2 linked regions of the Danio rerio genome follow. The protein of the gene in region 1 interacts with the protein of each later gene in a pairwise test. Links are inferred from orthologs where the notes say so. Each region holds a gene or a part of one and is shown in the gene's direction. Other genes may lie near its edges.

Region 1 (4,515 bases):
ACCAGCCGTGACCGACAGCCAGGTGATTAATTATGTACATTAATGAGAGAGGAGGAACGGTCAAATGTAGGAGGAGCACCAGCATGGAGAGGAAATATTAAGTTGCACAATACACATAAATCATATTCTGTGTTGCCAGTTGTGTAGAAATAATGCCAATTCAAAGCCATGTGTTTTAGTGCTAATAATTTATTATAACTTCATATAACCTGATTGTGCAGAGCTGCTTGAAGAGAAGTACACTTGTGTATATAATAATAAATAACTAAATATTCAAAAACCCATCCAAAAATGTGTATAGATGTGTAAAATGTGTCGGCAGATGGTTGGATAGGGTGAGATTCTGCTTCTGATCATATTTAAAGCTAATTTATTTTGACCATATAATTGGGCTGTTGTTGTATATTATTGTAAATAATTTGGGTGGTTAATATGAAGTCATGTCTTCTAAAAGATGTGAATACAGCTATAAGAGCTGTTTCAATGCTACAAGATTTGAGTCCACCTGTTTGATCTCCCCTGCTGCTTTCCCTCTTCTGACTACTGTTGCCGGTGTTGTTGGTATAGTTACTGTTGCTGACTTCATCTCTCGTGCCGAGTCCCAGAGCAGACAGAATCTCCCGGGGAAGGAGGCCAACCCACACGTGTCCCATCCTAAGGTCTGCACATACTACAACACAAGACACATAATTATGCATGATTGTGAACGTCTTTACTGTGCATGTACGTTTTTGTTTTGTTTTGTTTTTTTGGTAAAAATTTACTATGACAGTTCATAAATTAATGTATTTACTAACATGAAAAAAACTTTAAGTAATACATTTATTACATTTTAGCTAACATTGGTTAATGTTATTAAAGTTACCTAACGTTAGTTTTAGTCTTAGGCCTGTTTCACACCGCAAGCGTGAGCAGAGCGTGAGCAGCACGTGTGTTTTCGGCGTCCATGTTAACAGATTAGAGCTTTCATACCGCACGCAGCAGCAGCGCATCAGAGCGAGGCGTGAGCGTCGCCGAAGCAGCAGTGCAGCGATAGTTTCGGCACTGGTTCTATTTTTGACGCGCTGCTCACGCTCAATTAAAGTGACAGTGCATTGATAATGACCAAAACACATTGAATGACAGTAAAAAGTAGCAATTTTACCCAATAAATGTGTTAATAATGTCAAATGGTTTATATATAGTCATTCAAATTAACTTAAAACGATTAAAAACGGCAACAAACATTTATTTAGGCCCAAACTACAAAACCAAATATAAAACAATTTTAGTATCAGTTTTGCTTAAGTTGCACACTAGTGTTGTAGGAGAGGGGAAATAGAATATTTACGGGATTTGTAGTCCATAGCGAAGTGTATTGTGGGTAGTGTAGTTCGACACGCATGCTGGATTATGTGAGCTCGCTGTGTTCTGTGCAGCTAAGCAGAGGAAGAAAGTTTTAATCGGCTTTGTTTTATGTTCACTCGGATTATTCCTACCGGGAGCTGTTTGCACTGTGAATCTGACAACACGAAAATAAGTAAAAGAATGGCATGCATTGGTTACTTTTGTCCGTCTCATCCTCTGCACGAGCATGAATTAACGAGCTGTTATTCTGCCGCTGGACATCACTGAAGCAGAGAAAGTAACACTAGTTTGATCATGTATAAATATCATTATAATTATATTGTATAAATATTATTATAACTAGGTCTACAGCAACCTGATAATCAAAAAACAAATGACATGATATCACAGGCAATTGTCTTTTGACTGTAGACACTTCTCATATAAGTTAGCTTAAGAAGCAGACAGTACTATTTGATCTATAAAATTTGTAAAATAAACATTTGCAGGTTAAAGAAACAGCATAGGAGGGGCCTTGGTGCAGATGAAAAGTTTAAAAAGTGTATTTGTATATGGAGAGACATGGGTAACTAGATTGAATAGACAGAGATAGGTTGATCTCTGCAGCAGCTGCCGAAGAGCTGCGCGCTGCAGACGCAGCTGGTGTGAAAGGCAAACGCCTGCGTGCTGCTACTGCTTGACATACACGCTGCGCACGCTCTGCTCACGCGCCGCTGACGCTTGCGGTGTGAAACAGGCGTTAGCCCACAGTCCATTATCTAATGTTAACAAGCACAATTTTGGATCTTAACGCAATAGTAAATGTTAAACTGTGATTAATGCTTTACAAGATTATTCATACTTCGTTGATGGGAGTGTCTGTCTGTCTGAATATCATTATATATGCTACATTCTGGCCTGATTGTTACTTTTACAAGTATTGCTTTTTTGAAAGCCGAGTAAAATGTCTGTGCCACCATTATAAAATATTCAAAGTAATCTTTTGGGTTAAAGCACAGCTTGACTAGCATTAGACTCAAAACATAGCATCAACAGTGTTTTATCTCTCTCTCCATCAGGAAAACGGGACCAGCGTGAGTAAGGAAGAGCGCACTCCTTCAAAGCGCTCGCCCAGTAACGGCGTGGCGTCGCCCGGTGAGGCTCTGGCCATGGTGAACGGCGTCTCCTAAAAAGTCATCTCGCCCCCTCAAGACCCACGTCTAAAGCAAGACACCATGGCGAACTCTGTCCCTGCTTGCATTCACGTAAACCTTTAAACTGACGAATGAAAATCGACTAAAATCCTTGAATTCATGAAGTCTACGAGAAAACAAAAAAAAAAAGTAAAAATACGACGAGCGCATCTACTTTAAACCACACATAACGGTGTATGTTTATCCTATCTATCAGTACTTAGTGCTTATTTAAGACAAGCTTGCCAAAAATGAGCTGATGGATATGACTCAAATTTCTGACGTAACACAGAAAACAGGACGTGACTATTTTGGGGTTTCGTTTTAGATTTTTTTAGTTTTCGTTGTTGCTGTTGTCGTTGCCGTCATTATTTGTTTTCGTTTGTTTGTTTGTACTCACTGGCGTGGGATTGTGAACACACTCCCCAACAGATATAGCATCTCTGAAAACAGTGTTAGCTAAATGAGGGCGGAGCTAGCGGAGAGGATTGAAGGCGGAGCCTCTCACGAGTGATTGACAGCTGAGTCTGTGGTACTCTGAATTTAAGGGCAAAAAGGGGAAGCGGAGAGACATTGTGCCTTGAATTTGAAAAAAAAAAAAAAACTTGAGTATTTTCTTTTTACCTTAACGTTTGCGTTCTCGACTGGATGAAGTAGATGGTTCCGTTTTGTTTTTGGTGTTTTTATTTTGTCTAAAGGATGGAGAGGATTGTGCGGATTAAGAGGAGTGCGGATTTTGGGGGAGAAGAGCGATAATTAATGCCAAACATGAAATTATGACATTTGTCCAAGGTCGTTATTTGAAAGCCGTTTAATGTGTGTGTGTGTGTGTGTGTGTACGAGTGTGTGTCTGTTTGTTCATGTGTTGTTGTGAGACATGAAGTAAAAGTGTATAAATTGGGAAGGACGTCATATGATCCAGGAGACGACAGTAGAATCCTAAATGTGATTCGATCTCTCTGATTGAGGTGGCACAAGTCTTTCCCAATAGAACAAGACCGAGACGGAAACAATCTAACAGACAGTGTTGATCATATTCAGTATTTCAACAGCCCACCATACGGTTTTGGGGAGAAGGGAGGCAGGATTATTGTGAGTGTAAAAGCTGGCATGCGTGTGCACACACACTCTCGGTAGCTTCCAGCCACCGCTGTCTGAAGGGCTGGATGGGGTTGAGGCCTCACCGGCGCCCCCTCTGGTGTGTATGGTTGGTCTTCGGTAAACAGTGAAACCCTTTTCTGATGAAGAGTCAGGCATTCGTTCACACACATACATGCATACATCCGAGAGCATTGTAATACACTCCAGTGTGCAGGAATGGAGCTTGGGTCTCTGCTCAGGAGGTTCAAGCGTTGGTTGTATTTCTGGTTGTCCCGATGAAAAGGGGAGGATTGTTCCCTTGCTGTTACTTGTCATCTTGGTTCCTGCTCTCAAAGATTGTTTTTTTTTTCTTTTCTTTTTTGGTTGTACTTTCCACATCATGAAAAAACAAAAAAGATTAAAAAGGAAGTGAAATAAATTATTTCTGGAATGACACCTGTGTGTGTTTTGCATTCTGTTTTCATTTCCGTCTGATTTCAGTTACGCGATTGATTGATGAATGGGGAATAAAAACGCATCGAAACTAGTAAAACTAAAACTTGTATTAAAAAAGCAATGATTTCATCTAGGACTTGCTTGTTAAAAGATCTTGCACAAAAAGACACATTTCACAGATTAAGTCAGAATTATTAGCCCCCCTCTATATTTATTTTCCCCAATTTATGTTTAAAGAAAAGCTTTCACACATTTTTAACACAATAGTTTAAATAACTCTTTTCTAATAACTGATTTATTTTATCTTTGCCATGATGACAGATAGTTTTCAAGATACTGTTAATTAAAGGCTTAATTAGGTTAATTAAGCAAGTCATTGTGTAACAGTGGATTATTCTGTAAACAATAAAAATAATGCTTAAGGGGGCTGATAATATTGACGTTTGAATGGTTTAAAAAA
Region 2 (4,515 bases), on another chromosome or scaffold:
AAAATACAGTTACCGGCCACTTTATTAGGTACACCTGTCCAACTGCTGGTTGACGCAAATTTCTAATCAGCCAATCACATGGCAGCAACTCAATGCATTTAGGCATGTAGACATGGTAAAGACGATCTGCTGCAGTTCAAACTGAGCATCAGAATGGGGAAGAAAGGTGATTTAAGTGACTTTGACATGGGTGACTTTGGCATGGTTGATTGTGCCAGACGGGCTGGTCTGAGTATTTCAGAAACTGCTGATCTACTGGGATTTTCACGCACAACTATCTCTAGGGTTTACAGAGAATGGTCTGAAAAAGAGAAAATATCCAGTGAGCGGAAGTTCTGTGGGCGCAAATGCCTTGTTGATAACAAATATCAGATGATAATGGCCAGAATGGTTCGAGCTGACAAACGCAACAGTAACTCAAATAAGCACTCGTTACAACCGTGGACTGTAGAACAGCATCTCTGAATGCACAATACGGCCAACCTTGAAGCGGATGGGCTACAGCAGCAGAAGACCACACCGGGTGCCACTCCTGTCAGCTAAGAACAGGAAACTGAGGCTACAATTCACACAGGCTCACCAAAATTGGACAATAGAAGATTGGAAAAACGTTGCCTGGTCTGATGAGTCTCCATTTCTGCTGCGACATTCGTATAGTAGGGTCAGAATTTAGTGTCAACAACATGAAAGCATAGATTCATCCTGCATTGAGTCAATGGTTCAGGCTGGTGGTGGTGATGTAATGGTGTGGGGATGTTTTCTTGGCACACTTTTGGCCCATTAGTACCAATTGAACACCATGTCAACGTCACAGCCTACCTAAGTATTGTTGCTGACTGTGTTCGTCCCTTTATGACATGACCACAGTGTACCCATCTTCTGATGGCTACTTCCAGCTGGATAACGTGCCATGTCATAAAGCGAAAACCATCTCCGACTAATTTCTTGAACATGACAATGAGTTCACTGTACTCAAATGGCCTCCACAGTCACCAGTTCTCAATCCAATAGAGAACCTATGGGATGTGGTGGAACGGGAGATTGAACTGTGTGATTCTATCATCTCAATATGGACCGAAATCTCTGAGGAATATTATTACCAGTACCATTTTGAATGTTAACCACAAAGGATTAAGGCAGTTTTGAAGGAAAGGGGGGTCCCCGGTACTAGTAAGGAGTACCTAATGAAGTGGTCGGTGAGTGCACAAGCCTACACACACACACAAAAAAAAACTAGAAAGTAAAAACTTTATTTCATGGAAAGGTTGACATTTGTATGGAATGGCTCAAATACAGAAATAGTTGAAATCTAGAAATAGTATAAAGCCCAAACGTGCGAATATAAAACCAAGTTTACCTCAGTGTAAAAGCACACGCGTGTCAGCTGACTGTCGGCTGCACAGGGAGGGAGCAGCGGGCGACATCTTGGATTCATGAGTGAGCGGTGACCGCAGCCTGGAACATCAAATCCGGTCAATAACACCGAGCTTCGGTCAGAACCGAGCACATCTGTGTCCGCCAAGCCGGTTTTGGTCGGGAGGGACATCCAGAGACAAACACGGAGGGGTGAGTTGGGTGAATTCACCGGCCGGGTCTGTCGTGACACCGCCGAGCTGAGCTAGTTAGTTAGCTTAACCAGCTAACCAGCAGGACGCGGGCGTTTTACATTAACGTTAGATTCGCTTATGGAAATATGTCGAATGATGACATGTATATGTGGTATTAGGGAACGGTTATCTGAAGAAAACGCCGTTTAAACGTATTAAATCGTGATGTCTGTGTTTTTGAATGGGAGACCTTTACATAACGTTACCTCTACAGCTCGCGATTTCTGGCTAATATTTTGACGTTTTAATAATAAACCCAGCCTTTTTCTGTTAGAATTATGCAGAAAGCTTACTGTGAACGGTATATATTGGTGTTTATTAGAGTTTTCTGTCATTTTTGAGTCGAGACAGACAGTCGCAGTGCGCTGGTCTCCATCCGCAGACATGATTGATGCTGCAGAGAATTGTACATTTATTAAAAATCATCACTGGAAATAATGGAAACATCATAAATTCCCGGTTAGCTCCGTAACTGCTATATGATTTTTCCTTTTTTTCCCCCTCCATCAGCAGCCATTATGGATGTTGTAGGGCTAAGGAATGACATCATCATCAAAATATTCATTATGTTCTTATGATATTTAGAATTACTCATAAAACTGTAACCTTTGTGGTGTCACAATGCTTACTCCTAATGTTGTTTTGTCGAGTAATCTTGTGTTGACAGGCTATGTGGTCTGTCTGTGTGTTAATATTAATTTTACACAATGCAGAGGTTTACCCATGCATATTATCCTTGGTCATTTTGGTTTAGACTTGCTTCAGTTGTTCCTGTCATTTCTGCTTGATTCAGTATAAGGGTCTCTCATCATCCAGATAGATGTGTAAATGTGTCTATAACAGGAAACGCAGGATAGATTAAGTTATAGTGTGATTTTTATAAAAGCTTACATGTGTGTTTTTGTGTTATATGTGATGGAGAATAATTTTATGATTAATAAAGAAAGATGCGAGCGAACATGGATGTCCCATTTGAGGAGGAAAAGACATAAGTGGCAGAATTATATCTTTATATTATTTTAAAAAAAAAATTAATAATTATTTTTCGTTTTTTTTTATTTCACCTTTATTATACAGGACAGTAGTGTTGAGACAGGAATACCTGGAAAATTTAGAGAGGGGGTGAAGGATCGGCGAAGGACCTTGAGCTGGGAATCAAACTCGGGTTATCGTGACCACCTCAGTGATATTTGCCGGCGCACTTTACCTCCAGACTTTCACAGTATATGCAATGTTGTACTAGTATTATGATTTATCATTTGTATGTGTTTTTGATGTCTCTGATTGTGTTTGGGCTGTCACGATACTGGAATTCGATACCTATCGGTTCTGAATTTAAAAGACATCCATTTCCTGCTAACATTTGGGCACTGTTGTTAAGCACTTTCTTAAACAGGGTTGATTTGCCATTGTGGTCATGTGCTCAACAGAAGTGACAAATTGGCCATGAAGGTCATCGTTTCACCGAACTCACTGCTGTTTACTGATTGTAACTAAAGATACAGCGAACACTGGAGTGTTTCAAAGTCGCGTCTATCAGCTGGTTTGTCTGTAAGCTGACATACGAGCGATTCGCTGATGAATCGCGGAAAAAAACACAAATTTTTATTTTATTATAAAGAGATTCGATATTTTTTGTAAATATGACTATTTAAGCTACTTGCCTTATAATATTCCTAAATGTATTGTTAAAAAATATTAAATAATTACCGATATCGAATAATATGGAGCATAATACTGTGATATATTTTTTTCCAATATTGCCCAGCCCGCTTCACGGCCAATCACAGTCATTTCAGTTGAGCTTGTGAACTCAATGGCAAATTAGCGGTGCTTAAGAACGTAATCAAAAGCACTTACATGTTAGCGGAAAATGGACGTTATTAAAATTTCATTACCGTTTAATATCGAATTCCAGTATCGTGACAACACTTAATTGTAAATTGATTTCAAAAGCATTCAAGTATTGTGATAGGGTTGTGTCGATAGACGATGCCTTCGTCCATTGCCGATGGCCGACAAACTTTTATCCCCACATTTATATTCATATATAACTTATTTGCATGTCATCTTAATAGCAATAATGGTCTTTTCATGAGTTGTGCTAAATATTACTTATAGCTGGCGCTTGCACGGCTGACAGCATCGTGAGGATTAAATGAAGGCTTATATAGTAACTCTCGAACTTATAATGTGTAAATTCAGTGGCAAACGCTGTTACCTGCAAACCCCGTCCTACAGACTATACAGTGAATGGCTTTAGTCATTTTCATAGCGGACTTGAAACACTGGAAGTCTTTTATCCACTCTTGGAAAAGTGTAAATGGATTAACATTCAGCACATGATCACTAATAAGATGTGCCATTATTAGTAACTTTAGGTAAATCTGTCAGTGTTATTTTCATTCTCTCATCTTCAGCGCTTCACATTTTCACAGTTGTAGCTCCTGTCATCTGAAGGCAGAAGGCATTAACTGAGTGATTGACAGCTGATATTAACCAATCAATCGCGTTCAGTTAGAGCAGTGAGCCAATAAGAAGAGCACACATGGACACTGGAGCGTTTCAAAGTCGATCAGCTGGTTTGTGTTCAAGCTGACATACGAGCGATCTGCTGAGAAATCACAACTTTAAAACGCTCCAGTGTCCCTGTATCTGTAGTTACACTCAGTAAACAGCGGTGAGTTCGGTGAACAGATGATCTTCTCGGCCAATCACAGTCATTTCTGTTGTGCATGTGAACACAATGGCAAATCAGTGCTGATTTAAAAACGTGCTCAACAGCACTTAAATGTTAGCGGGAAATGGACTTCAGGCTTTTTATTAGCTTGTCATGGGTATTCTTGGGTGTTTCCAAGGTTCAGATAGAGAGGATTACAGGAGCAGGGTGTTAAGAGAAGATCTTCAC

Evidence for each region. The genes of interacting proteins can lie anywhere in the genome.
Region 2: the proteins of fxr2 (region 1) and ap2m1b interact in binary tests that used the Homo sapiens proteins (3 or more experiments, as listed by UniProt). The link is inferred for Danio rerio from reciprocal best matches to the Homo sapiens genes FXR2 and AP2M1.

What each region holds. Positions count from the first base shown.
Region 1 is NC_133182.1:22,740,804-22,745,318, forward strand, and holds the end of fxr2 (fragile X mental retardation syndrome-related protein 2), read left to right. Parts: coding exon 1-22; intron 23-567; coding exon 568-659; exon of another isoform or gene 660-887; intron 888-2,090; exon of another isoform or gene 2,091-2,405; coding exon 2,406-2,516; 3' UTR 2,517-4,053; downstream 4,054-4,515. UniProt on the Homo sapiens protein: mRNA-binding protein that acts as a regulator of mRNAs translation and/or stability, and which is required for adult hippocampal neurogenesis. Specifically binds to AU-rich elements (AREs) in the 3'-UTR of target mRNAs.
Region 2 is NC_133193.1:48,952,696-48,957,210, forward strand, and holds the start of ap2m1b (AP-2 complex subunit mu-B), read left to right. Parts: upstream 1-1,393; 5' UTR 1,394-1,566; intron 1,567-2,684; exon of another isoform or gene 2,685-3,004; intron 3,005-4,285; exon of another isoform or gene 4,286-4,515.